Stegostoma tigrinum: one gene and its partners. The protein of the gene in region 1 purifies or fractionates together with the protein of each later gene. This does not show direct contact. Links are inferred from orthologs where the notes say so. Each region holds a gene or a part of one and is shown in the gene's direction. Other genes may lie near its edges. The genes, in order: strn3, cttnbp2, fgfr1op2 and misshapen-like kinase 1.

Region 1 (7,496 bases):
ATGGCTGGAAAAGCTCTGAAAATTTGGTTAGATGGAAATGAGTGCATGATCTCCTACTGGGATCTTTGCAAAATAGAAATCCTACCTGACAATCGGCAGTTAATATTTTCCTATAACAACAAGGTGTAGAGCTGGATGAACACAGCAGGCCAAGCACCATCTTAGGAGCAGGAAGGCTGATGTTTCGGGCTTAGACCTGGCCTTCTTGCTCCTGTGATGCTGCTTGGCCTGCTGTGTTCATCCAGCTCGATACCTTGTTATCTAGGATTCTTCAGCATCTGCAGTTCCTATTATCTCTGATAATATTTTTCTATTATGTTTTACCATAATCTCTGGTACAAAACAAATTGTCTCTGATTACTTTACGGACAGGTTCTATGATAACCTCCCAAGCAAAACAAATCAACATTATAGAGAAGGTTAACTGCACACACGTACTGTATTGTGTCAGTATCTCAAACAATTTTAACAGTTACTTCATATAATCAAAATGTTAAAATAATGAGCATCAGCTAAATAACAATCTCAAATCAGATAGAAGTTCAAAAGTGACAATATCACAGTTATTGCCAAATCAGCCTACACATTTCCTTAATAAGACAAGTGACTACTATGTGACAGCAGGACTTCAATCATCTTGATATCAAACATATCAAGAACTAAAGAGATGAGGAACTGTTTGAACCAGACTGAAATGCTATGTCAGTGTGACCTCAATGTATTTTGGTTAAGTTTGATTCTTCCTGTAACAAAGTGTAACACTTTGAAGGCATGAAGCAAATATAGCATTATTAGAAGATGGAAAAGAACTAAAATTACTCAAATGGAAAGTATTTTGAATTATAACATTTATTTTTAAAGCAATGATTGATATGGACAAGGAAAATTAGACTGAAAATAGATGTTATTCATTAAATAGAATGTATCCTGAAGATAATTCTGGCTGTTTACAATATAGGATAACTATTTTCAGACTCTTCTATCCTCTGCTACTGAAAACCAGCAACTGAAAGAGTCACATTAAAGACACTAACAGCTGCCTCATGCAGGCATGAATGTAGCTCATGGTTACAGTGACTTCCACTTCAGTATTTCTGCAGTTGAATTCCAATTAACTTATGCAGACACTATAATTATCTTATCATCATTGGTTGACGTGATGGGAAACCCCATTCATAGCTCAAAGTAAAAATCTCCATTGTTGACCAATCACTCAGGACTAATGGCAATTCAGTATGATTGAAGAATTGTACTTAGGAACTGTTGATAGTGTAATCAATAAAAACAGATACAGCTGTCCACTTCCCACCGACCAAATCATTCAGCTGGAAGTTGTGCCATGTTCCATTCAGCTGTACTTGCAAGTGCGAGCTCTGTTCATTGGTCCATACTGAATTCAGTCACGTCAGTCAAAGCAGCACTGGGGACTTGTAGTTGACCTATGAATCCGTGGATTGAGAATAACATCCAAGGTTTTATCTTTTCATTATTTACTGACTACTGCTGGAAAACATCACATTATGTGAGCACAGCACCCGAGCATTGCTATGTAGGTCTATAAAACCAAAAAAGTGCATTCAATTAACACCAAATAGACATTGAGGTTTCCTGAAATGTTTCACAAAATAAAATATTCTTGAAATGTAGTTATGGCTGGTTTTCAAATAAACAAGGCAAACTGGTGCACAGCAACAGACTACAAATTAACAAGTTTTTGGTGATTTTGATTGAGGGATATAAATTTGCCAAACACTCGTTCTTCCTCTTTAATCACTGGATCATGGCCCAGTTTAATGTCTCGTTCAAAAGACTGTGATTTGAACAAAGAAGCATCCACTCAGTACTGCTCTGACATACGTACTCTTGAAACTGTATCTTTCCGACTAAAATTTGAGAATGTTACCATTGGGCCATTATGACTGCTTACTAACAACTAATATTCAGACTCAAATGTAAACAATAAGTGCTTGAAAAGAACTTCTGATAGCTACTGGTACAGGATTAGAGTTGTATCAGTGCAGAGACTATCTCCAGGACTTCTAAGGAACAAAATATGAAAAATATACCTTTATAAATTGTCTTTAAAGTGAAGCAGGTTCAAGGAACCAAGTGGCTGGTTCGTGCTCCTAATTTGTATGTTGGTATATTCATAGAGACAGAGTCAGAGATATATAGTACAGAAAACAGACCCTTTGGCCCATCTTGTTCATGCCGACCAAGTATCCTAAACTGATGTAGTTCCATTTGCCAGCATTTGGCCCATAACCTTCTAAAGCCTTCCTGTTCATGTACTCATCCAGATGCATTTTAGATGATATAATTGTACCTCCCTCCACCAATTCATCTGACAGCTTGTTCGATACACAAACCAACCTCTGCATGAAAACATTGCCCCTCAGGTTCCTTTTAAACTTATGTTGACAGAGGCAAAGGAAAAGTAACACGAAGCAACAGGATTAGGATGAGAGATCAAGAGCTTATTCATGGAGGTGATCAAAAGTTAATAAATGCCTGCAAATACATGGTCGGGCCATGGTTAGAATAAAGACAACAGAGTTTTGTAATTTTAGCTTGTGGACCATGGATAATGGGAAGTTGGACTGAAGAATAATTGAATAATTAAAACTGGAAGGGTCAGTTCAATGAATCAGTGTTTTCAATGCAACATGGGTTGAGATAACGGAAGAGCAGATAATGCTACAGAGTTGAATGTTGCAGATCTTCATGATGTACATGGTATCTTGACTGACTGACATCTTTGTTTTTGACTGCGAATGTTACTAACTAATTGCATTCTTATTCCAGAATTTATAATAATTTCTTTTCATCCAGTTTTCTACCCATTCCATTCATTCTAAGTAAATTATATCTGTACACTCTGGAATTTAAAGAAATGAGGGGTGATTTCGTTGAAACATGCAAGTAGTTGAAACTGAAGTCGTAGGAAGTGCTGGAGAATCTGAGATAACAAGGTGTAGAGCTGAATGAACACAGCAGGCTAAGCAGCATCAATGGAGCAGGAAAGCTGACATTTCGGGCCTAGGCCCTTCTTAATTTTCTGAAGAAAGGTCTAGGCCCGAAACATCATCTTTCCTGCTCCTATGATGCTGCTTGGCCTGCTTTGTTCATCCAGCTCTACACCTTCTTATCCAAGATTCTGAAGTGGTTTCGCAGGTTAAAGAGAGAAGGTTTTTCTCCTGTCTAGGGAATCTAGGGCACCAGGGATCAATGATAACAAAGTGTGAAGCTGGATGAACACAGCAGTTCCCATTATCTCTGATCACCAGGGAACAATTTCAGGTTAAGGATCACTTGGGGTTGACATGAAGAGAAATTTCTTCACTCAGAGGTCTGTGAATCTTTAGAATTTTCTACAGAGGTGTGAACTCTCCAGACAAATACATTTCTGATCTCACATAATCAAGATTAATGGGAGAAGATAAGAAAACAAAACTGATGCAAAAGATTTGTTGTGACATTGTGGCTCAGTCATTAACACCACTGTCTCACAGCATCAGGGACCAGGATTCCATTCCACCCTTGAGTGACTTGTCTGTATGGAGTTTGCACATTCTCTAGATGTGTGTTGGCTTGCTCCAGTTTCCTCCCACAGTCCAAAGACATGCCATGCTAAATTTCCCATAATGTTCAGGGATGTGCAGACTCAGTGGGTGAACCATAGGAGGTTGCAGGAAATAAGGTGGGATGCTCTTCAGAGGGTTAGTGCAAATGTGATGGGTGGAATAGCCTGCTTCCACACTGTAGGATTCTATATTTAGTAGATAAGCAGACTTGAAGGTCTGCAGGATAACCCACACCTGGTTTTACTTATGTGTCTTGGATATAGTCAGCCTTCTGGCATCTTTCACCATGATTATTCTTTCCGTAAACTCAGACAATGAGAAATGAATGGATAATTAAGACTGTAGCCCTTAATAGTAAAAAGAACTGGGCAGTGATCAATAATAAGACTGTGGCTGGTTCTCCTCTTTAGCACAGGAACATACACTTGAACCTCTACCCTAGCAAAACCAACAAAAAAAGTCAACAAGCTCCTGTCAGCCAGAATGGTGCAATGCTGAAAATTTTAGCTTCAAGTTAAAGGATTATTGTAGAAAGTTACAGAAACTCTTTCCTGTTGCATTAGCAGGTTCTGTTAAATAAAACTCAATTATCTGAACACACGGGGTCTTAAATAGTATCCGCAAAAGTGATGCGATCACTGATTAGAAATAAGGAAAAAGAGCAAACATTTTAAATTAAACTGAATCGCACCAGACCGTTTCTTAGGGGAAGTAATATCTGAATAGAAACTGATACTTTGATCGTAAAAGGAGAATCTCATTTCATTTGTCTTACACGCTCTTTTCAGTCTCTCTGTAGAAACGACAGGTAAGGTCCTAGTGAGTAGCCTGCAGACACTGAGCAGGTGTGTGGGCCAGTGAGGCGCGCCTGCGCACTAGCGCTGCTGCTGTATTTGGCCAAAGGGCCGCGGCTGCTCCTCCTCCACCGACAGCGCAGCGCCGCCGCCATATTCTGCAGACAGAAGGGCAATGGCGGCTCGCTTGCGACGCTGAAACTCATCCGGTTACTTTCCTTCGCGGACCCTTCCCACTAATATAACAATACCACCGTAGTAATAACAATAATAAACATGGACGAACATCCGATAGGAATGTCCTCACAAAACAATTCCGGAGGTCCTTTGCTGGGCCCGGGAAGCAACGGCAGCAACAACAACGGTGTCCGGCAGCAGCAGCAGCAGGGTCAGCTAGAGGAACTGCAGCAGCGGCCCCAGTACACTATCCCCGGCATCTTACACTATATCCAGCATGAGTGGGCCCGCTTCGAGATGGAGCGAGCGCACTGGGAGGTGGAGAGGGCCGAGCTTCAGGTAGAGTGACAAGCAGTGCTCGCACAGCGGGTCTGGGGGTCCGGGGAGGGCTGATCTACAGCTGGGGACGTCGAACTCGGAATGAGCGATACGGTTGTGTGCTCAGTGTTCGCCCGGGGCTCGGAGGAGGATTGATAGAGCGGATAGTATTTACCCAAGTGTGAGGCTATCCTCGCCGCCGCCATTTTTGTTTCCAATATGGCGCCGGACAGCTGAGTGTAAATAACTGGGAGCATGTTTGTATGTGGGTGCTCATGGACCTTAGGTTCGTCTGATGGTCCTGGTTTTCAACTTAATTTGCTTCTCCTGATTTGTTACCGAATGATGCTGTTGTCGGACAGTGTGCGCCTCTTACATCTCTGATCAAACGGGGAGCCTCAGACCCGGGTGTCTGGTTTTGCAGAATGGATTGTTTGAGCGTTGCTTGGGTAGCATTGCATAAGCCCTTGATGCAGAATATGACTCAGTTCTCATAATTTGCCTGAAACTGTCAATCTGGATAAATGTGTTTGTGTTGAAGCGATTCAGTTGTGATCCGACAAATTGGCACTGACCACATCGGGCATAGACTTGACATTCAGTTGACTGACGCGATATCGTTTTAATTCACTTGCAGTTTCATTGCGATCCTGTCATTTAAACAAATGCATGTTCTCACATCGTGGTAACTGTTTATCGTTGTAACGATGGACAGCTTAAGGCAAAATGCAGGATCTCAATTCCTCGTTCACTTTGGTGGTGTCATTATACCATATATCCATTTCTGAAGTTAATTCTAACAGCAGCATTGTTATATGTTACATGACTTGTTAAGATACCCTTTGTGTCTTCAAAATATTACTTTAAGACAGACAACTGTTTGTATAAACAGTTTGCAACAAAAGGTAGTGTAGGCATTGTAATGTTGAGGACAATGCTGCGTTTTTAGAGGTTCCATCTCTTGGGTGAAATTGTAAACAGGCCATGTTTGTCTGTTGATTTCAAGAATAATTTTGGTACTGTTTACAATTTAGGAGTTCTCACAGATCACTTACTCTTAAAACAGCACTAAATGGATTAACTAGTCATGTTTGAGTTTATATAGAAATCGGATGCAGTTTGTTCGCATTAAAGCAACTACACTTCAGATCTAAAATTCAAATCTTGAAGTGTTTTGAAATAACTTGATAATGTATTTTTTTTTTGAAGAAATGCTACTTGTCGTTACATTCTAACTGACAATATGGTAATAAGTAAATTTTTTTTGTTACTTTTGAATACATGCAACCTTTTTTAAAATACAAGGCAGTGACTTACTTCACTGTCACTAATTAATCTCAGTATTTAAAATTGGTGTACCTGGATTCTTTATATTGTGAGTTTTTATAATTAAATATTATCATTAATATCAACCAGTAGTTTAATTTTGCTAGACCTTTTGAGTAAATGTGATTTTGACTGCTAGATTTTTCTTGAATTAAGTTTAATGATGTAGTTTATGTTTTATTTGTAGTTTTGGGAACAAAATATTTATCCTACATTAATTGAAACCATATACTATATACTGTACTTGGAATCACAGAAACTAGGAGCAGACTATTTGGGCCTTCGAGGTTTCAGTATGATAATAGCTGACCATATGTCTGCTTTCTTCCCATGCCTGTTGATACTTTCAAAATCTAAAAAGGAATCACTTTCTTGAATACATTCAGTAATTTGGCATACATGTCTTCAGTAGTAGAGAATTCCCCAGATTAACTACCCTTTGAAGAATCATAGAATCCATGCAATGTGGAAGCAGACCATTCAGCCCATTGAGTGGACACTGGCTTTCCAAAGAGCGTCTCACCCAGACCTATCCCATAGCCCTCCCTGTAACACTGCATTTCCACCTAGCCTCACACCCCTAGACATTGTGGGCAATTTAGCATGGCCAGTCCATCTAACCTGCTCATCTTTAGACTGTGGAACGATACCAGAGTACCTGGAAGAAATCCACACAGACACTGGGAAGATGTGCAGATAAATAGTTTAACCCATATTTTAATGCTGTTCCTTGATTCTGGACTCCCAATCAGGAAAAAAAATCTTCCCACTATCCAGTGTGTCCAGCTGTGTTAGAATTTACACGATAAGAATCATACCCCTAGACCAACAAGCGTACACAATTTATCTCTGTGTTAGAATTTTATACATTTCAGTCAGATCCCGTTTCATCCTTCTATTGGATCTAACAGAGGACAGCCATGGAATTCTTGGAGGCTTGACATTCATCTGAGGACTCTATCAACCAACACATTGAATTGGATTCAATATATTGACCATTACAATGCACAGCCAGAACTGGCACCTACCAGAAGCAGCAAAAACCAGACCATGTAAATTCAAACTGGCACAAGACAACAGCACTGAGTATGTCATGTAGTAAGGGGACAAAACATCTGCTATCAAATCAACGAACACACCAGCATCTACAACCAGCACTGTCCTATAAATCTAAGGCAACCCCAGTTTGCCTTCCAAATTGCTAGTGCACCCACCCATTGATCGGCTTACAAAGACATCCCGATCCCTTTGTTTATCCATACTTTCCAACACAGCAAGCTTTTTTTATTATCCTGCA
Region 2 (7,845 bases), on another chromosome or scaffold:
TGGCCGCGACCAGGTGTACCTCCGCTGTGCTCCGTCTGCAGGGGTGCTGAAGACGTCGAGCAGCTTGGCGTCCTTCACCGTGCCCATCAGGAATCTGGGCGTGACGTCCAGTTGACTCCCCCCACCCGCTGTCCCCACGCCGGATCTTCCATCTGCATCAATGATGCAGTTGAAGTCTCCGCCTAGGATGACTGGCCTGGACGTAGCCAGCAGGGGTGGAAGCTGCTGCAGGACGGCCAACCGCTCATTCCTTACCGCTGGGGCGTACACATTGACCAGCCTCAGGGGAGCGTTCCTGTAGGTGACATCAGCCACTAGGAGGCGCCACCCCCTCCACCTCCTGAACTTGAGAGATGTGAAGTCGCGCCCCCGCAGCAGAATAGCCAGGCCCGAGCAGTGACAGTCGTTACCCCCCGACCAGATCGAAGGCCCACCAGGTCCAGGCGCCGGACCATTTCCCGTACCTGCCGAGGTGCGGTATCCCGCACTCCTGTAGAAACAGGATGTCCGCCTTGACGGTGGTCAGGTAGGCCAACATGGAGACACATCTTGCGGTGGACTTGACACTGCGCACATTAATGCTCGCAATTCGTACCCCCATTGTGGGCAGTGACCGCAGTACCGTCCCCAAGTCCAAGGTCCAGCCCCTCCATCTGTCCCTTCATGCCCATTGCCCGGGCTAACTGCCGGACGCTCTCCGGGCTAAGGAAACCGTCTGTGCTGCCTTCCGGGTGGCATCACCCCCGTCAGGGGTGCGGAGGCAGGAGGGTCCGGCTCCGGGTCAGGCTGGGGACGCGCTGTTTCCTCCGTCCCGCCTGGAAGTTCCGGGGGGCCCTCCAGTGCCCCAGCGGCACTTGACTGGGTGTCGGCGGGAGCCTCAGGACGCCTCCCATCACCTGGAAGCGGGATGCTGCTTTCCTTCTCCCTCGAGATCTTTAACTTCTGCTTCGGGTGGGCCCTCTCCGAATCCCCCTCGTCAGAGGAGCTCTTATAGCCCCCCTGTAGCTGCCTCTTCCCGCCTGATGGTTGCGGTTTCTGGGCCCATCGACGCACCTTCCGCCTCGCTTTCCGGACTGTTGTCCACTCCCCTGGGTCGCCTGTCGCCGCCTCCATCGACTCCGGGTTGTCGGGGGGGAGCGGAGCCTGCAGGGGTGCTTTGCCGGCCTCGGGCCCACCCTGCGGGGCTGGGCCCACCCTGCGCGGCCTGGCCCTCCCGCTCATTAGTGGGGTCCTTGCTGGGCCCTGGTGCCTTCCTCTCCTCCGGGGGCGCTGGCCCCGCATTGCCCCTGCCAGCAACCTGGGCATAGGTGGTCCCCCGCTGCCGGCATGCCCTATAGAGGTGGCCCGCTTCCCCGCAAAGGTTGCAGCTTTTCTCTTGTGGGCAATCCTTTGCAAGGTGTCCCTCCTCCCTGCAGATGGTGGCTTTGCAGTCGGCCGCCACATGACCTGACCTACCACAGGCATGGCAGACTTTAGGTTGCCATGCATAGGTCAGGTAGCCCTTGCTCCCACCGATCGCGAAGCTGGACGGTGGGTGTACGACATTCCCGTCCGCACCCATCCTCAGCATCACCTTGACCTGCCTCTTACTCGTCCAGATGCCAAAGGGGTCCATGATGTCAGTTAGGTCCCCTTCCACCTTCACGTACCTTCCGAGGAAGGTCAGGACATCAACTGCTGGCACATGCGGGTTGTACATATGTACAGTCACCATACGGCTCCTCTGCGCTGGCATCACAAACAGCGGGACAGCAGGCAATACAGAGAGGGGGCCCTCACCTCCTTTCTCCTTGAAAACCTCCAGGAAGTGCTCGCAAAGCTTGGCACTCCTGAAGGTCACGTCGTATAAACCTCCTCCGGGGAAATCCTGCAGGCAGTAAATGTCCGCAGCAGCGAACCCGCAACAGTCCAACAGGACCCTCTTCACGAAGAAGGTGCAGTCCACAGGTGCACCTTCATCCACCTTCTTTACGGAAACACGGTTGGCGTTCCGGACCCCCTGACCTGGGGCACGAGCACTTGCCGCAGCCATCGTTGCAGGTTGGCTGCTCCCCTGAACCAGCGTTAGGCCGAAGCCAGCATTAAGATCCACTGGTTGCAAGGGTGCACAGCCAACCCGACGTCCTCCTTCCACCTCCAAGACAGCACTCTCCTCCTCTCAGTCCACAAGAGAGTGGTTCTTTATTTTGTTCCAGATATAAGCTGGTTCACTGAGCTTGAAGGTTTGTTCCCAGATGTTTTGTCACCATTCTAGGTAACATCATCTGTGAGCCTCCCACAAAGCACTAGTGTTATGTCCCACTTTCTATTTACCTGTTTAGGTTTCCTTGGGTTGCTGATGTCATTTCCTGCATTGGTGATGTCATTTACTGTTCCTTTTCTCAGAGGATGGTAGATTGGCTCCAAATCAACATGTTTGTTGATGGAGTTCCTGTTGGAATGCCATGCTTCTAGGAATTCTCGTGCGTGTCTCTGTTTGGCTTGTCCTAGGATGGATGTGTTGTCCCACTCAAAGTGGTGACCTTCCTCATCTGTATGTAAGGATACGAGTGATAGTGGGTCATGTCGTTTTGTGGCTAGTTGATGTTCATGTATCCTGGTGGCTAGCTTTCTGCCTGTTTGTCCAAATGTAGTGTTTGTCACAGTTCTTGCAAGGTATTTTTTTTTCGACATAACACCAGCGCTTCGTCGGAGGCTCACTGATGATGTCACCTAGAATGGTGACGAAATGTCTGAAAACTAACCTTTCAGCTCAGCGAGCAAACTCACATCCAGATAAATATAGCCTATTTTCTAAAGAATTAGAAGGTTAAGGATATCTGACTGAAGTCTTCAAGATATTAACGGGAAAAGACAAAGTAAACAAAGATAAACTATTTCCACTAGTTTGACATTGTAGAACTAGGGGGCACAGTTTGGGAATTACAGCCAGACCATTCAAGAGAGATTTTGGAGGCACTTCTATATACAAAGGGTCATGTTTGGAGCTCTCTTCTGGAAATGGCAATGGATGCAGGGTTAGTTGTTAATTTTAAGTCCAAGATTGATAGTTTTTTGTTCAGCAAAAGGCAGGAATACGGAGTTAGGTCACAGATCGGCCATGCTCTCACTGAATAGTGGAAGAATGGCCTACTGCTGTTCCTTTGTCAGAGATGTGGGATTTGGATTATATAGATAATCTGGGGACCTGACATCGTTTGTTATAAACAATTGCTCATCCCTTAAATTAAAGTAACTACATCATGTCATAGATACCCTACATTCCAAAAGGGACTGGAGGTTGGTGTGCAAAGAGGCAGTTTTACTGTTCCTGCATCTATAAGACATTCTTACAAAAGCACAGATATTTGACTTTTCTTCCTCAAGGTGCCCTCCAATTGTTCGGTTTCAGTTTCCACGTTTCTTAGAATTAAGCAATAAACTAAGCTTTGTGCAAGATTGCAGATTATTTCCTTAAAAAAAAGCTCATGAAATTGAAAGTAATTCCCATTCTTTGATCACTTGTGTACAAATAATGGCATTGAGATGGAAAGTGGCAAAGTTGTTCTTCGGAGTTTCAATTTATGCTTTTTGTGAAGAATGAAGATGATGCTGCGTGAGAAGTGACAGGAGATTTGCTTCAAGCAATTTTTTTCTGAATTATCTCCGGATTTTACCACATCCTATTTAACAGTAAGAAATCAAAATTATGATGTCGCCAAACTGCCTACTGTTTAGTAATTCCATTTTTAAAATTAATTTGATTAGAATTAATCCTAGTGCATATGCATTTGAAGTTTTTGCTGTATATAGATTATTTTAGCCCAGTTTGTGGTTACAGCATTTCCATCTTAATTTAATCAGGATATTTTTTCCAGCAATTTAGTAGGAAAGTGAATACTTTCCACTGACATTTAGCTACTTGTTTTCTGAAATGAACATTATTTTGTTCCACAAGGTTTAAACATTCTTCAGGTTCTTTGATGCTCTCCTTTAGTATTATACTCCAAATGGACACAAGATTTGCATTTTAATATGCAAAAAGTAACATATATTTTACCTGAGATAATATAGAATAGCTAAAAGCTATAAAAACTACTTTTGAGTTATCCTGCATGTGAGATTTCAGAAACTAAGTATTAGAAGCTCCATTGGATCCAGAAGATTCACACAGGAGATCTGTCTCTTTTTGCCTGGCATCAATCCACGCAGCTTCCTGCATGATGTGGGTCTTCATCCACTAAGGGTAAATTACTGATGGTGATGGGAGGCCCACTTATTGGCCTCAATAGGCCCAAAGACAGGGTAGACCGTCTGACACCTCCACATACCCGACATATCGCCCAGGTTAGGTGAAACAAGTAGGTCTTCCACCTTGAATCCTGCCAGCAAGGAAGATTGAAATCCAGCTAATTAACTCTGCTTTCTCTTAGAAATTCTGCCTGATCTGGTGACAGTAGTTCCAAAATTTTCTATTCACATTACAGACTGACAAAATTGAGTGTTTTGCTTTGGCTTTACAATCAACAGAAGTAAAAATTTTCCCCAAAAGTCTGCCTGACAGATTGATGCAGTTAATTACACTTACCTTCATTTTGACTAACGGCAAAGACCAAACAAATAAATTAAAAAAGCTTGAAAAAAATGGCAGTCTACTTTTTTCGACACCCGTTATCTGGTTCCCAATGCAACACAGGAGTTTCAAATTTATTAGAGAAAGGCAGGGACTTCAGATAAAGCGACGAATATTTTAACATTTCTCCTATCTCGTTATCAACCAACCAGCTTCCAAGTCACGATATCTTGTCAAGCAGGGTCTCCGTGACTCCTGTGCTGTTCTTACGATGATAGCAGTTATACAGATCAGTTACACCTCACTGTGAAATGGCTGCAGAAGCATTTTGCCACAGTCCGAGGTCTTGATTTTGGTTTGGAATATGTGAGCGTTCATGGACAGTGAAACTTCCGTGCCCGTGAGGCTTTGTTTATAAATTTTCTACACTAACTATGCAATGTTACGAGAAATGGGTCCATGTCAAAATTACCAGGCAAACGTGAGACTTGTTCACCGGGAGGTATTCAGATGAAAAATCATCAGCAAGAACAGCGGTGCTTCACACTGCACTGACCCCAGCCTTCAGAAGAGTTACCCTTCATGTGTCATTTAGTTTCGCCTCTCCAGTAATAAGTTGCTGGTTTGGTAGAGCCTCTGTGTGGCTATTTCATTGTCAGTTTGATGTTCAGCTCGGAATCTCTGGGTTTGGTTTATGCAGTCTCTCTTTTTCTCCATTGGTTGTACAGCCTCTCTCCAGGTTTGGTTTATGCAATCTCTCTTTTTCTCTCCTGGTTTTGTTTGTGCAATGTCTCTCTGCTTTGATTTGTACAGTCTCTCTCTCCTGGTTTAGTTTGTGCTGTTTCTCTTTGTAGATTTGATTTATGCAATCTCTCTATTGGTTTGGTTTGTACAGTCTCTTTCTGTCTGTAGATTTGGTTTGGTTTGTGCAATCTCTCTCTCTGCTTAGGTCTGTACAGTCTCTCCCTCCCTCTCTCCAGTTTGCTTTGTGCTGTTTCTTTTATAGGTTTGATTTATGCAGACTGTGTCTTTCTCTCGACAGGTTTCGTTTCTGCAGTTTCTCTCTCGGTTGCTGTGAATGGGCTCTGGTTTTTCTTTGCTGGTGGTCACTGCCCCCTGTCTGGTTGCTGGCGCTGAGTCTGTCTGTCTGTATTCCCCCCTCCCTCCCACCCCCTCACAAGGCAAAATGGCGACTGAGAGCGAGTTGAGGCCGGACAGCGGCGACCCCTCGTCTGAGGAACAAGCCCCCACTGTCTGCCAGGTAAAGTCCAGTGAGTGACCCGTACCGCGGAGTCAGCTTTATCAACGGCAATGTGTATTAAATAAATGAAGAAAAGCCCGCTCCTTTGTGAGAGGTTGAGTCTGGAATGTAGCCGCATAAACTCAGTGGATACAATGTATCCGTTCCCTGTGGAAGTTGATGCGGGAAGCGGCCACACGCTAAGAGGGGTTCAGCCTGGAAAATGTAACCGTGCAGTTCTTCTACCTCTTCATAAATTCCGTTCCCGTCGCTTTTCTTTTTCGTAACGTGTTTGAAAGCACGATTTGATTTGGGCTTTAGAATCGATTTACGTTTGGCGTTTTGCTCACACCGTTGCCGAGATTCTCATTTTCTTTGCTGGCTTTATAGTGGAACGTACTACATTCCGAAATTGAAATTCGATTGAAGGCATTTTTTTTCTGTTTGAAAACGAAAACCCACCCACACACCAAGGTTTTTGCCGGCCCGCAGCACTTTGTTTGCCCTGAACAAAACCCCGAGGGTTGCCTTCCTGCAGCTGAAATCTGAGCCCGTGTCTATATCATTTATCTTACTCAGTTCAATAAGGCAAAACTCGATTGTATCGAAGATATTATTTGTCTAAACTACATTTCCTTTCATATTATATCGCAATTGCTGTTTAATTGTAATTGATGAGAACATTCGGCTACCTTAAATCGTAAGAGCTGTAGGAGAATCGACTAGCCACCTTAAGGAATTGAGGGTTTTTTTTGTATTATCGTGTTTTATACAGTACGTAGAACAGTTGCACATTTGTTTATGGTCTTTTGATTTTTGTTTCAGTCAAACATTGTTAGAGGCGTAAATTATGTTTTGTGTTGTCATTCAGCTTAATGCTTAATACATTGGTGTGAGTCCTTATCCACTTAAATTGGAAGTAAATTTGTTACTGTTCCAGAAGTCTGAATTTGACCTGGAGAGTCTGAGTAAAACCGAGCTGCTGACTTTCCTAAGTATCCTTGAAGGAGAATTGGAAGCCAGAGATCTGGTGATCGAAACGTTAAGGGTAAGTGATAGACTTTCTTTTCTTAACTGTTTCTATTTCACCCTCCATTTATAGGATGGTGCAAATGTGTGATGCACACATTTCACACAGGCTTTCATTTCACTAAAGAACCAGATGCTGTTGGAATTTTCCAGCTACAAGTATTCAACTTGGCAAATAATTTGATAGGTATTAGCAATTTCAAAGACATCCTGTCTTACACTTACACTGTAAACGAATGCTGTCATCATTAGAGTTTGCAGCATTTCTGGTTGCTTTGCTGTACAGGTTGATGTCAGGCTTAAATACTTCATGAACGATTTGCCATTAAGCTGCCCTCCTACGAATTAGAAGTGCTGCACTGATGTGAACGAAGGAAAGCTCAAGGCTGTGGGTGGAAATGAATTATTTAAATTATTAGAACCAGTTGACAAAAGCTGTTAAAACTGCTGGGACGTTTGGTTTCATAAGTAGGGAGACAGTGTAAAATTGAAGTGGTAATGATGAGCCATTGGTTGGATTGCCATTAGAATGTTACTTCTGTTTTTGGAATCTAAATAAGGAAAAATGTCAAGATTATGGAATGGGTACAAAAGGGATTTATTAAAGTGATACCATTTTGTGGGAGATTTGTTACAAGAAGATAGTCACAGATTGTGATATTTTTTTTCTTAATGGTATATCTGTGAAGGTTAAGAGGCAACTTACTGGTGTTCCAAAGTGGGTTTAGGTAACTGTGTTTAAAAAATATCCAGATTGGTGACACACAAAGTTTAGTGCTTAAGTTTAAGATGCACACCAAAATGGAAATGATGGTTAGGTGATTTTCGTAGCTTGTGAAGGAACTCCAGTGTGTTATGCTTTCTATTGGGATGCTCTGTATTTATTAAAAAAAACTCTTGTTAGCATAATACTTTTAGTTTATGTTATACAATGAAAGCACAGCTGTGTAAGAAGCCACCATGACAATATTCGTGACCCACATTAAGCTTAAACTCCAAATGTAAGATAAATATAGTTGTCCTA
Region 3 (7,530 bases), on another chromosome or scaffold:
AGGCAAAATATCAAGTGTTGTTCCTCCAGTTTATGTTTGGCCTCACTCTGACAGTGGAGGAGGCCAATGATGGACATGTCACCAGGGGAGTGGCAGGGGGAGTTAATGTGGATGGTAACTGGAAGAACAGGTTGGTTGGTGCATGCACAGCGCAGATGCTGATGAACCGGTCCCTGAGTCTACATTTGGTCTCCGTGAGACAGAGGAGACCACATCGGGAGCAACGGACGCAATAAAAATAAATCAGGCTGGGTGAAGTGCAAGGGAATAGCTGCTGAATCTGGAAGGATTGCTTGGGGTCCTGCACAGAGGTGAGGCGGGAAGGTGTAGCATCCTTCCTACAGCACGGTGACCAAAACTGAGCACAATACACCAAGTGCAGCCTCACCAACGTCCTGTACACCTGCAACATAACTTCCTAAAAAGCCTTCCTCACTGCCCTATCTATGACTCCACTTTCAGAGAACTGTGCACCTCAGCTCCAAGGTCCCTCTCTTCCACTAAACACTTTAAGGCCCGACCATTCACCATGAAACTCCTACCTTGATTTGACTTTCCAAATGCCGCACCCTCACACTTATTTATATTAAACTCCATTTGCCATTTATCGGCTAACTTCCCCAGCTGATCAAGATCCTGCTGCAATTACTGAATACCTTCCTCACTGTCCACAATACCACCTATTTCAGTGTCATACGCAAACTTAAGAATTATGCCTTGTACATTTTCATCCAAATCATTGATATGGGCAACAAACAGAAATGGGCCCAGCACTGACTCCTGAGGCACAAGCCTCCAGTCAGACAAGCATCCTTCCACTATTATCCTCTGTTTCCTACCATCAAGCCACTTGTCTATCCAAATTGCCAGCTCTCCCTGGATTTAATGTGATCTAACCTTCCAGAGCAGCCTACCATGTGGAACCTTATCAAAGGCCTTACTGAAATCCATGTAGACTACATCTACTACCCCGCCCTCATCAGCTTCCTGGTCACTTCATCAAAGAACTCTAACATATTTTGTGAGGCTTGAACTCCCATGCACAAAGCCATGCTGACTACTCCTAATCAAACCTGTCTTTCTAAATGTATGTATGTCTTATCCCTCAGAATCTTCTCCGGTAACTTACCTACCACAGACGTTAAGCTTATTTATCTACAATTCCCAGGTTATTCTTTACAGCTCTTTGTGAATAAAGGCACAACATTCACTACCCTCCAGTCTTGTGGGTCCTCACTTATGGCTAATAATGATGCAACTATATCAGCCAGGGATCCCGCAATTCCTTCCCTAGCCTTTTGCAGGGTTCTTGGACATATCTGGTCAGGACCAGGAGATTTATCCACCTTTGTATATTCTAGTACTTCCAAAGCCTCCTGTACTGTGATATAGATTGTCCCAAATATATCACCACTAACCTCCCCAAGTTCCCTAGTCTTCATGTTCTTTCTCCACGGTAAACACAGAGGAGAAATATTCATTTAGGACCTCACCCATCCCCTGTGGTTCCACACACACACATGTCCACTTTGGTCCTTGAGGGGTCTTATTCTCTCTCTAGTTATTCCTCTTTTTTTATATACTTAAAGAATGTCTTTGGATTCACCCTAACCTTCTCAGCCAAAGCTGTCTCCCCTTTTCACCCTCCTGATTTCCTCCTTCAGTAAATTCCTGAATCCCCACTATACCTTCAGGGATCCCTTTGATCCCAGCTGCCTTTACCTGAGTCATGCCTCCTTTTCTTTCTGGTAAAAGCTCAATATCTCTTGTCATCCAGAGTTCCCTATTCCTGCCAACCTTGCCCGTCACCCTCACAGGAGCTTATAGACCTAAAACTCTACCTATCACACTTTTCAAGGCCTCCCACTCGCCAGAGATCCCTTTACCTGTAAACAAACTATTCTAATCAACCCCTGCAAGCTCCTGTCTCTTTCCATCAAAATTCACCTTGCTCCAATTTAGAATTTGAACCTGTGGGCCAGTTTTGCCCTTCTCCATAACTATTTAAAAGTAACAGAACTATGGTCACTGGAGAAGAGTGTACATGCTGGAACGTTGTTGAACTCTGTGTTGAGCTCTGGCGGCTGTAAAGTGCCTCAGAGGAAAACCAGGTGCTGCGTCTCCACTTGCGTTGAGCTTTGCTGTAACGCTGCAGCAGGTCTAGGATGGAAATGTTGGCAAGAGAGCAAGATAATGGCATTGAAACAACAAGCAACAAGAAGGTTCTTCCTATCGACAGATTGGAATGGTTCCATAGAGTGATCATCCAGTCTACACTTTGTCTCACCAGTGTAAAGGAGACTGCATTGTGAGCAGTGAATACAATACACTAGATAGTACACTACAATACACTGCTTCACCTGGAGCAGGTACGTTTGGACAGTAAGGAAGTGCTTGGACTGTTATAGAGAGAATTGTTCCTGTGGAATGCTGACATTGGAGGGAAGGGGAAGATGTGTTGGTGGTAACATCCTGCTGGAGGTGGCAGAAGAGCCAATGAAGGATCCTTTGGATGTGCACACTGGTGGGGAGTGAGGACAAAGGGAATCCTATCATTGTTGATGGAAAAATGGGAGAGACAGATTGCACATGGTTCAGGGGTCTGTCAGCTACAATGAGGGTGGGGAGGGAGGAATTCCTTAAAGGGCAGAATTTCTCAGTTGACACAAAAGGATATCATGTTGGATACCACAAGGTGGAATCTGGCATCGTTGGAAAAGATGCAAAAGGAGATGGAGATGCTGGGAAAATGGAATGGAGTCCTTGCAGGACATAAGATTTGCAGATGTGTAGCCACGGTAACTGGGATTGTAATGGATATTGGTGGACAGCCTATCCCCAGAAATGGAAGCATGGGAATTAAGGGCAGGGAAAGAAGAGTCAAAATAGACCAGATGAAGGTGAGACCAGGTTGGAAATGGGAAGCAAAGCTAATTAATTTTTCTGATTCCAGACCAGTGTCAGCACTAATGATGTCATTGGGAGGGTTCCTGATTAGGACTGAAGGAATGTTGCTCAAATTGCAAAGAGATAGGCACAACTGGGCCCAATGCAGGTCCTCATAGCCACTCCTTTGACTGAGAGAAAATTGAACAAGTTAAAGGGGTTGTTCAGACTTAAAATGAGCTCAGTCAGGTGCTGGAGGATAGGAATCATTCAGCCCTCTTTTCAAGGAAGTAGTAGACAACTGCCAGAACATCCTGATGGGGATAGCTGTGTGTAAGGATTATACACCCATGGTGAAGAGGTGTTGTCTGCGGCCAGGAAACTGGAAATTATAATAGAACATAATGTTAGAGGAATCATAAATGTAAGTGGGAAGAGCGTGAACAACTGGTCAGAGTGGGGGCAAGGCAAATAGTGTGTGTAAAGGCAAGCAAGAGTATTGGTGATATATTGGTGCACAGTCAAACAAAAAAAAACACGATCACTAAATCAGAATTCTTAAAAGGATCACAAAGGTCTTCCACACGTAGCATTTTTTATGATGTAGAGGTTGGTGTTCAACTGGGGTGGACAAAGTCAGAATTCAGATGCCACCAGTTTATAGTCCAACAGGTTTATTTGAAATCACAAACTTTTAGTGCACTGCTCCTCTGTCAGGGCTTCACCTGACAAAGGCACCTCAAGCCCCACCCCCATCCCCTACCTACTAACCTCATCCCGCACCCCCGCCGACATATCCGTCCTCCCTGGACTGACCTATCCCATCCCTAACTCCTCACCTACATTCACATTCACTGGCTCTAACCCTGCCTCTTAGACCTGTCTGTCTCCTCTCCACCGATCTTCCCCTCTATCCATCTTCTCTCCGCCTCCCCCCGTCTCCCTATTTATTTCAGAAACCCCCTTCCCCTCCCCCATTTCTGAAGAAGGGTCCCGACCCAAAACGTCAAGCTTTCCTGCTCCTTTGATCCAGCTCTACACCGTGTTGTATCAGATACTCCACCATCGGCAGTTCCTGCTATCTCTACAATTGGAAAGCCTGGGATTTCGAATAAACCTGTTGGACTATAACCTGGTGTCGTCTGACCTCAGAGTTTTTTTACGACACAGAAGAAGGCCCTTCAGCCCATCATGTGTGCATGGTCATCAAACATCTGTCTATTCGAATCAATGTGAGAAATCACTTTTCTTGAGAAAGATAATTGAGGGATCAGTGTGAGAGGCTGAAACACTCCTGACATGGGCATTCCTGTCTGTCAGTCATTTTCCAAGCTAACAGTTCCCCCAAAATGACAAACAGCCACATGTCTGGTGACTAACCCAATGGGTTCCGGTTGGATTTCCCACTGGTTTTGCCACATGGTTTGGCCACATGGTTGTTCCTGTTTGACACATTTGCACCTGAATGTTGCAAATGCGTTTTCCTTTGGACAGCGCCGCCTGTAGCCTGGAGGTGAAATCCGTGGAGCATCAGGCATGCGCACTGCAGCGAACTACAATCCCCTGCGTGCACCGCGCGGCGCGCCGGGGTTGCGCACGCGCGGTTCCGCCCCTGGGTTGTTGGGGCATTTCCGGTTCCGGCCTTTGACCGCCGAGAGGTTCATGGAAACGGCGGCAGCAGCAACGGTTCTGAGTCGGTGAGATATGGAGCGGGAAGGAGCCGCGAGGGGTCTCCAAGGCTGCGGCGCAGGGAGTCGATAGGGTCCTGACCTCCCAGGGACAACCCACCATCCGCCCCCACCCCACCCACCCCCCCCACCCCACCCACCCCCCCCACCCCCCCCACCCCCCCCCACCCCCCCCACCCCACCCACCCCCCCCACCCCCCCCATCCACTCCCCCCCCCCACCTCCCCCGTCCACCCCCCCACCTCCCCCCACCCACTTCTCCCCCCCACCCACCCACCTCCCCCACCCCCCCTCCCACCTCCCCCACCCCCACTCCCACCTCCCCCACCCCCACTCCCACCTCCCCCACCCCCACCCCCACTCCCACCTCCCCCTCCCCCACCCCCACTCCCCCCTCCCCCACCTCCCCCTCCCCCACCCCCACTCCCCCCTCCCCCACCCCCACTCCCCCCTCCCCCACCCCCACCCCCACTCCCCCCTCCCCCACCCCCACTCCCCCCTCCCCCACTCCCCCCCCACTCCCACCTCCCCCTCCCCCACCCCCACTCCCCCCTCCCCCACCCCCACTCCCCCCCCACTCCCCCTCCCCCCCACCCCCACTCCCCCCCCACTCCCCCTCCCCCCCACTCCCCCCCCCCACTCCCCCTCCCCCCCCACTCCCCCCCACCCCCACTCCCCCCCCACTCCCCCCCACCCCCACCCCCACTCCCCCCCACCCCCACCCCCACTCCCCCCCCACCCCCACTCCCCCCCCACCCCCACTCCCCCCCCACCCCCACTCCCCCCCACTCCCCCCCCCACCCCCACTCCCCCCCCCACCCCCCACTCCCCCCCCCCACCCCCACTCCCCCCCCACCCCCACTCCCCCCCCACCCCCACTCCCCCCCCCACCCCCACTCCCCCCCCCACCCCCCACTCCCCCCCCCCACCCCCACCCCCCTCCCCACCCCCCTCCTCCCCCCCACCCCCCTCCTCCCCCCCCTCCTCCCCCCCACCCCCCTCCCCACCCCCCTCCTCCCCCCCACCCCCCTCCCCACCCCCCTCCCCACCCCCCTCCCCCCCACCCCCTCCCCCCCACCCCCTCCCCACCCACCTCCCCCCCACCCCCTCCCCACCCACCCCCCTCCCCCCCACCCCCTCCCCCCCCTCCCCTCCCCCCCCTCCCCTCCCCCCCCCCCCTCCCCCCCCACCCCACCCCTCTCCCCCCACCCCCCCACCCCACCCCCCCACCCCACCCCTCTCCCCCCACCCCTCTCCCCCCACCCCTCTCCCCCCACCCCTCTCCCCCCACCCCTCTCCCCCCACCCCTCTCCCCCCACCCCTCTCCCCCCACCCCTCTCCCCCCACCCCTCTCCCCCCACCCCACCCCTCTCCCCCCACCCCTCTCCCCCCACCCCTCTCCCCCCATCCCTCTCCCCCCATCCCTCTCTCACTACCACCTTCCCCTTGCACCCTCCCTCACTCTCCTCCTCCAGCTTCCATGTTGTAGCAGTTTCCATACTTCTGTGAGACCCCTCCCCAATACATAGTGACTGTCTGCCTTGTTTTCCTTTGCCTGGGTTCAGTGCCGTGTCAGATTGGCTTACAACGGGCTTATGTTGTGTTTGCACCTGAATTGCTTGTTATTATTTATAACTCGACAACACAGAAGTAAAACTTTGATCCTGTGTGTGTAGGTGTGAATGGGGAGTAAGGTTCTTGCGACCCCAAGACATCTAATTTGCCGTCAAAAACAGCCTAGTTATAAATGCAACAACAGAAAAATGCTGCAGATGCTGGAAACCTGAAGTAAATACAGAAATTAGTGAAAATACTCAGCTGCTGGCTGTATTCGGGGAGATCAGAACATAGTTGGTGCTTCAGGTCTGTGATTTTTCATTTGATGTTACAAAGCAGTCTGTGAGCCAAAGTTTCTTTGTAATTTCAGTAACAACACAGAATATGCCTTAGCTATTGAAATGACAACCCAGTTTATCTGAAACACTGGCTAATTAGGCTGGTAATTAGTGTGATTAAAACACAAGAGAATTTCTGCAGCTGTCAAAGTCTAGTCTTTGAAGGATGTCTTTTTGTAAAGTCATTCTCTGAAGCATTTGACAGATTTGTTTTTGTCATGGCATTTTCTGTTTTTCCTGCTATCAGCAGGGCTTAATTGTTCGGACCCTTACCTACAGTCTGGTGGGTTTACCGATGGCCTAAACTGACTGCTCCAGTGCGGCACTGAGACAGAGCTGTGTTGTCTTCAGTGAGGATCCTTTTAAGGGTGCAATAGTCTTTAAAGATCCTATTTAAGACCAGTGTTTCAAACACAAATAACTTTCCTGAAATGGAACAGTGCTCCCAGATGTGGTTAATGGTGTCTTGCATTGTACAAGTTTGGTTCCTACCTTGCCAGCACAACCCCTAGTGGTAAATGAAGATTTGCAGCGGTCTGGGAGAGCACGGAGCTTGATGAGCAGCCATTCTGATGAGTTGTGCAACAGGATTGAATGTTTTCTGTCTGCTGCAGGATGGTACACCAATACAATCTGTTTCGTGTTCTGTGAGCCGTGTACTCTGGCACCCAGTAAAACAGACAGCAAGGTCTGCGGATGCCGGAATCAGAATCAATAGTGTGGAGCTGAAGGAACACAGCGGGTCAGGCTGACTCCAGGAATCAGGACCGATGATGGGTCTAGGCCCGAAACATCGACTCTCCTGCTCCTCTGATGCTGCTGACCTGCTGTGTTCCACCATCTTCACTCTGTGTCGACCCAGAAAAACAGTCTTTCCTTTTACAGAAATGAGTTGTACTATAGAGAAGGTTCTGGCTGATGCAAAAGCGCTGGTGGAACGATTGAAAGAACATGACAGTGCAGCAGAAGCTCTCATTGAACAGACCACTGCACTGAACAAGCGAGTGGAGGCCATGAAGCAGGTGAGTGATATACAACAATTATTCTGCAATCATTTAGCT
Region 4 (6,834 bases), on another chromosome or scaffold:
CTGCAGCTCCTCACAGACCATATTGTTGGTTTACAGCATTGCAGGGGGAAGAGAGTGTTATAGACACTAGTTACAGTGATGTGGACACACTCCAGGTTCAGTCAGGTAGATGGGGGGGCTGCCAGGAGTGGTAGGAAGGCAGTGTAGCACTCTCCTGTGATTATTCCCCTCTCTAACAAGTATACCATTTCAGAAACCGGTGGGGGCGTGGTAGCCTCCCAGGGGAGTATAATAGCAGCAGTCAGGCCTATGACACCATGACTAGCTCTGCTGTAGAGCCGGGTCAGACAAAGTCCAAGTGAGCATGAATAGTAGAGAACTTGCTAGTCAGGGGCACAAACAGGCATCTTTGAGGCTGTGTTTGAGACTCCAGGACAGTGCGTTGCCTCCCAGATCCAGGACGTCTCTGAGCATTGTATGAAATTCTTATGGGGGAGGGTGAGTAGCCAGAAGTCGTTGTACATACTGGTACCAACAGCACAGGTAGGAAAAGGGAGTTGGTCCTAAAGAGGGATTACAGGGAATTAGGCAGAAGGTTCAAATACAGGATCTCAAGGGTAGTAACTTCTGGGTGAGTTCCAGTGCTACATGTTAGTGAAAATAGGATGAGCAGGATTTGGCAGATGAGTGCATGGCTTGAGACCTGGTGCAAGGGGCAGCGATGCAGATTCATGGATCATTGGGATCTCTTCTGGGGCAGAGGTGACCTGTACAAGAGGGACGGTTGCATCTGAACTGGATGGGGGTCAACATTCTGGCAGGAAGACTTGGAAGCAACTTGGGAGGGTTTAAGATAACAAAGTGTGGAGCTGGATGAACACAGCAGGCCAGCCAGCATCAGAGGAGCAGGAAAGCTGGCATTTTGGGTCTGGGCCCCTTCTTCAGAAAGGTTCAGACGCGAAACTTCAGCTTTCCCGCTCCTCTGATGCTGCCTGGCCTGCTGTGTACATCCAGCTCCACACCTTGCTATCTCAGACTCCAACATCGGCAGTTCCGACTATCCTTGGGAGGGTTTAACCTAGTCTGGCAGGAGTTGGGGGCATGGGATCAAAAGCAGTACGGAGACAACAGAGAAGGTTTAGGGCAGTACAGAGGTTAATGAAAGCAAATTAAACAGTAAAGGCAGTGTTGGTAATCCTAGTACTAGACACAGCAGGCAAGAGCACAACAGGAAGCAAGGGAGGTCTCAGCTAAACTGTGTTTACTTCAATGCAAGAGGCCTGACAAATAATACAAATGAACTTGGGGCCTAGATGAGTACATGGGGCCGGGATAATAAATCTATTACAGAAACATGGTTGAGGGGAGGACAGGGCTAGCAGTTCAATGTTCCCGGTACCGATGTTATAGGAAGGAGAGAAAGGGAAGCAACAGAGGAGGAAGAGTTGAGTTTCTGCTCAGGGAGAACATCACAGCAGTACTGACAGTAGACATGCTTGAGGGCTTGTTCAGAATCTATATGGGTGGAACTGAGAAATATAAAAAAAAGCATTGTATCTAGGCTGCCCAATAGTCAGCAGGAGACTGAAGAACAAGTATGTAAGGAGTTTGCAGATGGCTGCAAGTAATAAGGTTGTAATAGTAAGTGATTTTAACCTTCATAACATCGACTGGGGACTGTCATTGTGTAAGGGTTTGTTTGCAGACAAATTTGTTTAGTGTATTTAGGAGGAATTTCTCATGCAGTATGTAGATGGCCCCAATAGACAAGGAGCAAAACTTGATCTCCTCTTGGAAAATACAGCAGGGCAAGTGATGAAGAGTTAATAGGGGAGCACTTTGGGACCAGTGACCATAATTCCATTAGTTATAAAACAGCAAAGGAAATGAATAGATCCAGTCCACAAGACAACATTCTAAATTGGGGCAAGGTCAACTTTGATGGCCTTTGACAGGAATGTTCAAGAGTTGAATGGGGGAGGCTGTTTGCAGGCAAAGGGACGTCTGGTAAATGAGATGCTTTCAGAAGTGAGTTAGAGGGTTCAGGGCCAGCATGTTTCTGTTAGAATGAAGGGTAAGGCTGGCAGGAGTAGGGAAAGTAAGTATGGAGAGCAATGGGTGGTTTTTGTCAAGGCTTATTCTGTGTAGCTCCATGATTCCTCTGTGCTGGGATGCATAGAGACAAACATCCACTTGCACCTGGAGGGCTATCAACTTCCTGAACAGACAGTCCTTGGTATGCCAAGATCTGTTGGTCTTCCAGTGCGGAGGTGATCTTGACTGAATATTGCAGACTGGCACATTCCAAGGTATGGGATGCACTGAAGCTTGGGCCAGCTGCTGCGAAGGCACAGTGGGGAAAGACTACTGTCGAAGATATTTCTGCCAAAGTTAAACAGGGGTCTGTCCAGTCATCGGACGCCTTTCCTGTGCCTCAAATTGATGTAAATATAATCACGTATCAGTAAGAAACAGCCTTGGGTTAGTTTTGTTGGGTATAGTGAAACTCCAACATTAGTTTGTTTCTCCATCTGTTACTGTACAGAACAGGACTGCTTTAGTGACTTTGCATGTATTTAAAGATTTTTTTATGACCAATGCACATTTTTGAAAATAAAAAATATCGATCTCTGTCTTGCATGGACATCTAAATCTGGAACGTTAAGCTAACAGTCTTGTCCTTCTTGCAACCAGGTCTATAATAGCTACAACATTATAGATATAGAGTCATACAGAATGGAAACAGACCCTTTGGTCCAATCAGCCTATGCTGATCGTAATACTGAACTAAATTAATTCCACCTGCCTGCTTTTGGCCCATATCCCTCCAAACCTTTCCAATTCATGTACCTGTCCAAATTTTAAAAAAAAATTTTCTAACTGTGCCCACATCCACCACTTCCTAATGAAGTTCATTCCACAAAAACCACCTTATGTAAAAAGATTTTCCCCTCACAGCTTTTTAAAATCTCACCTCTGCCATTAAAAATGTGCTCCCTAGTCTTGAAATCCCCAATCCTAGGGAAAAGATACCTTCCATTAACCTTCATGATTTTACAAATCTAAGTTCACCTCTCAAATTCCTATGCTCCAGTGAAAAATATTCCAGCCTTTCCTTATCACTCAAATTTTCCATGCTCACCAACAACCTCTTTTGAATCCTCTCCAGTTTAAGAATATCCTTCTTGTAACCTGGTGACCAGAACTGCATACATTACTCAAAGAACAGACCTCACCACCATGCTGTACAACCTCAATATGACATCCCAACTCAAAGGACTGAGCACTGAAGACATGCGTGGCAAATAACCTTTTAACCAACATGCCAAAAACTTGCCTGCACCCCTGGTTGCTATGTTCCACCACATTATCTAAGGCCCTATCATTAATTGTATAAGTCCTGCCCTAGTTTGTACGTGGACTAACGCTTAGATTTCGATTTGCATTGTATAGAGGCGTGTTATCCATTCAGGTACTCAGTAGGTTGACGTCTGTATTAGACTGAGATGCAATGTCTGTGGTAAATCGAAGGCCCACTTTCCCCTCACCTGAGGTCTGGTGACCCTCAGGTTAAACCACCAGCAGTCTTAGTGAGAACTGTCCCATTACCATCCTGTATGCTCTTACACAGAATATCCCCTCCCTCTGGTTTCCAATGGAATGAAGCCTTCATTTGGAGCTCATCAAAGCATCATCAACCAGGTACATCATCTCAGACGCGCCTTCGGCTCGGAGTACGCAGGCGCAATGTTGGGGCTTAAGGACGAGCTGGAGCGCAGGCGCGAGCACGTTTCACGAGGGGAGCGAATGGCATTACGGCTTGTCGGTGACGTCACCCAGGTCCGGTGGTTAAGTGACGTCCGCGTCTTTCATGTTAGGAGGCCGTGACGTCAAAACAGTGCGGAGCGACAGCCGGCGGGGAGGCGGAAACGGAGAACTGCACGGACCGGGGGCGCGTCAGGTGGTGTTCCGATTGGTCTGAGGGGACGGGGCGTGGAGAACCTGACGTTCTCATAGGAGGGGTAAAACCAACGTCACGCGGCTGGGCCGGCCTATGACGTCCGACGGAGGTCAAACGTGGGGGCGGGCATCATGACGCCCTACAGTGGGCGGGGTTAAACGTCAGGAGTCTGGGCGTGTCGGCGGCGTTGCCCCTGGTTACCGGTCGAGGGTTGGCGTTGGGGAGAGAAGTAGGTTGTCGTTTGGAACCGGGGAATGGAGGCGGAGGAGAGGACGGAACGGTGGCAGATCTTCACCAACGGCAGCTGCCCCCGCCCAACACCGTAAGGACAGGTCCCGTTTCACCTGACCCCATTCGCCCAGCCGTAGCAGAGTAACAAAAGGTTGAGGTGGAGAGATCTAACCGCACCCCCACAACCCCTCCATCCTCCGCCCCGTCAGTCAGTGTCCGGCGCCCGTGAGTCTGTTGAAAACGGGGCCGCGGGCTCGGCCTCTGCTCACGGTTGAACACAGAAAGGGCCCGAACCCCTCTCCCCGGCCATCAGGCGGCGCAGGAAGATGGCGAACGAGCCTCCCGCCCGCAGTCTGGACGACATCGACCTCTCGGCTCTCCGGGTAAGGCAAGGAACTGACTCCCCGCCCCCCTCCACTATCTTGCCCCCCCCCCCCCCGCCGCTCCCCGATTCCCCCCTTTCATCCCCCTCACCCCTCTCTTCCCCGATTCCCCTCTCTTCCCCCCCTCCCCCCTCTCTTCCCCCCCTCACCCCTCTCTTCCCCCCTCCCCGATTTCCCCCTCACCCCTCTCTTCCCCCCTCCCCGATTTCCCCCACCACTCTCTTTCCCCCCTCCTCCCCGATTCACCCTTTCCCCCACCCCCTCCTCCCCCCTCCCCAATTTCCCCTTTCCTCCACCCCTTTGCTCCCTGATTTCCCCCCTTTCTGCCCCCTCCCCGATTTTCCCCCTCCCCGATTTTCCCCCTCCCCGATTTTCCCCCTCCCCGATTTTCCCCCTCCCCGATTTTCCCCCTCCCCGATTTTCCCCCTCCCCGATTTTCCCCCTCACCCCTCCCCGATTTCCCCTTCTCCCCCAACCCGTCCCTTCTCCCCCAACCCGTCCCTTCTCCCCCAACCCGTCCCTTCTCCCCCCACCGGTCCCCCGTCCTCCCCGATTTCCCCTTTCCCCCGTCCTCCCCGATTTCCCCTTTCCCCCGTCCTCCCCGATTTCCCCTTTCCCCCCTCCCCGATTTCCCTTCCCCCCCCCTCCCCGATTTCCCCTTCCCCCCCTCCCCGATTTCCCCTTCCCCCCCCTCCCCGATTTCCCCTTCCCCCCCTCCCTGATTTCCCCTTCCCCCCCTCCCCGATTTTCCCCCTCCCCGATTTTCCCCCTCCCCGATTTTCCCCCTCCCCGATTTTCCCCCTCCCCGATTTTCCCCCTCCCCGATTTTCCCCCTCCCCGATTTTCCCCACCACTCTCTTTCCCCCCTCCTCCCCGATTCACCCTTTCCCCCACCCCCTCCTCCCCCCTCCCCAATTTCCCCTTTCCTCCACCCCTTTCCTCCCTGATTTCCCCCCTTTCTGCCCCCTCCCCGATTTTCCCCCTCCCCGATTTTCCCCCTCCCCGATTTTCCCCCTCCCCGATTTTCCCCCACCCCGATTTTCCCCCACCCCGATTTTCCCCCACCCCGATTTTCCCCCTCCTCGATTTTCCCCCTCACCCCTCCCCGATTTTCCCTCCACCCCTCTCTTCCCCCGTCCTCCCCGATTTCCGATTTCCCCGTCCTCCCCGATTTCCCCTTTTCCCCGTCCTCCCCGATTTCCCCTTTCCCCCGTCCTCCCCGATTTCCCCTTTCCCCCGTCCTCCCCGATTTCCCCTTCCCCCCCCATCCTCCCCGATTTCCCCTTCCCCCCCCCATCCTCCCCGATTTCCCCTCCCCCCCCTCCCCGATTTCCCCTTCCCCCCCCCCCTCCTCCCCGATTTCCCCTTCTCCCCCAACCCGTCCCTTCTCCCCCAACCCGTCCCTTCTCCCCCAACCCGTCCCTTCTCCCCCCACCGGTCCCTTAACCCCCCCCCCCCTTTCCCCCGTCCTCCCCGATTTCCCCTTTCCCCCATCCTCCCCGATTTCCCCTTTCCCCCCTCCCCGATTTCCCCTTTCCCCCCTCCCCGATTTCCCCTTCCCCCTCCCCGATTTCCCCTTCCCCCTCCCCGATTTTCCCCCTCCCCGATTTTCCCCCTCCCCGATTTTCCCCCTCCCCGATTTTCCCCCTCCCCGATTTTCCCCCTCACCCCTCCCCGATTTTCCCTCCACCCCTCTCTTTCCCCCGTCCTCCCCGATTTCCGATTTCCCCGTCCTCCCCGATTTCCCCTTTTCCCCGTCCTCCCCGATTTCCCCTTTCCCCCGTCCTCCCCGATTTCCCCTTCCCCCCCGTCCTCCCCGATTTCCCCTTCCCCCCCCCATCCTCCCCGATTTCCCCTTCCCCCCCCCCCCGATTTCCCCTTCCCCCCCCCATCCTCCCCGATTTCCCCTTCCCCCCCCTCCCCGATTTCCCCTTCCCCCCCCTCCCCGATTTCCCCTTCCCCCCCCTCCCCGATTTCCCCTTCTCCCCCGTCCCCGATTTCCCCTTCCCCCCCCCCTCCCCGATTTCCCCTTCTCCCCCAACCCGTCCCTTCTCCCCCAACCCGTCCCTTCTCCCCCAACCCGTCCCTTCTCCCCCAACCCGTCCCTTCTCCCCCCACCGGTCCCTTAACCCCGCCCTTTCCCCCATCCTCCCCGATTTCCCCTTTCCCCCATCCTCCCCGATTTCCCCTTTCCCCCATCCTCCCCGATTTCCCCTTTCCCCCCTCCCCGATTTCCCCTTCTCCCCCGTCCCCGATTTCCCCTTCCCCCCCCTCCTCCCCGATTTCCCCTTCTCCCCCAACCCGTCCCTTCTCCCCCAA

Evidence for each region.
Region 2: the proteins of strn3 (region 1) and cttnbp2 purify together in Homo sapiens (affinity purification with mass spectrometry; 4 studies listed by BioGRID and IntAct, with this or other methods). This does not show direct contact. The link is inferred for Stegostoma tigrinum from reciprocal best matches to the Homo sapiens genes STRN3 and CTTNBP2.
Region 3: the proteins of strn3 (region 1) and fgfr1op2 purify together in Homo sapiens (affinity purification with mass spectrometry; 5 studies listed by BioGRID and IntAct, with this or other methods). This does not show direct contact. The link is inferred for Stegostoma tigrinum from reciprocal best matches to the Homo sapiens genes STRN3 and FGFR1OP2.
Region 4: the proteins of strn3 (region 1) and misshapen-like kinase 1 purify together in Homo sapiens (affinity purification with mass spectrometry; 3 studies listed by BioGRID and IntAct, with this or other methods). This does not show direct contact. The link is inferred for Stegostoma tigrinum from reciprocal best matches to the Homo sapiens genes STRN3 and MINK1.

Annotation. Positions count from the first base shown.
Region 1 is NC_081363.1:61,112,166-61,119,661, forward strand, and holds the start of strn3 (striatin-3), read left to right. Parts: upstream 1-4,495; 5' UTR 4,496-4,654; coding exon 4,655-4,894; intron 4,895-5,048; exon of another isoform or gene 5,049-5,102; intron 5,103-7,496. UniProt on the Homo sapiens protein: Calmodulin-binding scaffolding protein which is the center of the striatin-interacting phosphatase and kinase (STRIPAK) complexes.
Region 2 is NC_081371.1:35,147,212-35,155,056, reverse strand, and holds the start of cttnbp2 (cortactin-binding protein 2), read left to right. Parts: upstream 1-4,835; 5' UTR 4,836-5,215; coding exon of another isoform or gene 5,216-5,291; intron 5,292-5,343; exon of another isoform or gene 5,344-5,594; 5' UTR 5,595-5,630; coding exon 5,631-5,813; intron 5,814-6,732; coding exon 6,733-6,840; intron 6,841-7,845. UniProt on the Homo sapiens protein: Regulates the dendritic spine distribution of CTTN/cortactin in hippocampal neurons, and thus controls dendritic spinogenesis and dendritic spine maintenance.
Region 3 is NC_081371.1:59,157,625-59,165,154, forward strand, and holds the start of fgfr1op2 (FGFR1 oncogene partner 2 homolog), read left to right. Parts: upstream 1-4,509; 5' UTR 4,510-4,583; intron 4,584-6,250; 5' UTR 6,251-6,437; intron 6,438-7,354; 5' UTR 7,355-7,356; coding exon 7,357-7,491; intron 7,492-7,530. UniProt on the Homo sapiens protein: May be involved in wound healing pathway.
Region 4 is NC_081398.1:13,574,916-13,581,749, reverse strand, and holds the start of misshapen-like kinase 1, read left to right. Parts: upstream 1-3,819; 5' UTR 3,820-4,458; coding exon 4,459-4,515; intron 4,516-6,834. UniProt on the Homo sapiens protein: Serine/threonine kinase which acts as a negative regulator of Ras-related Rap2-mediated signal transduction to control neuronal structure and AMPA receptor trafficking.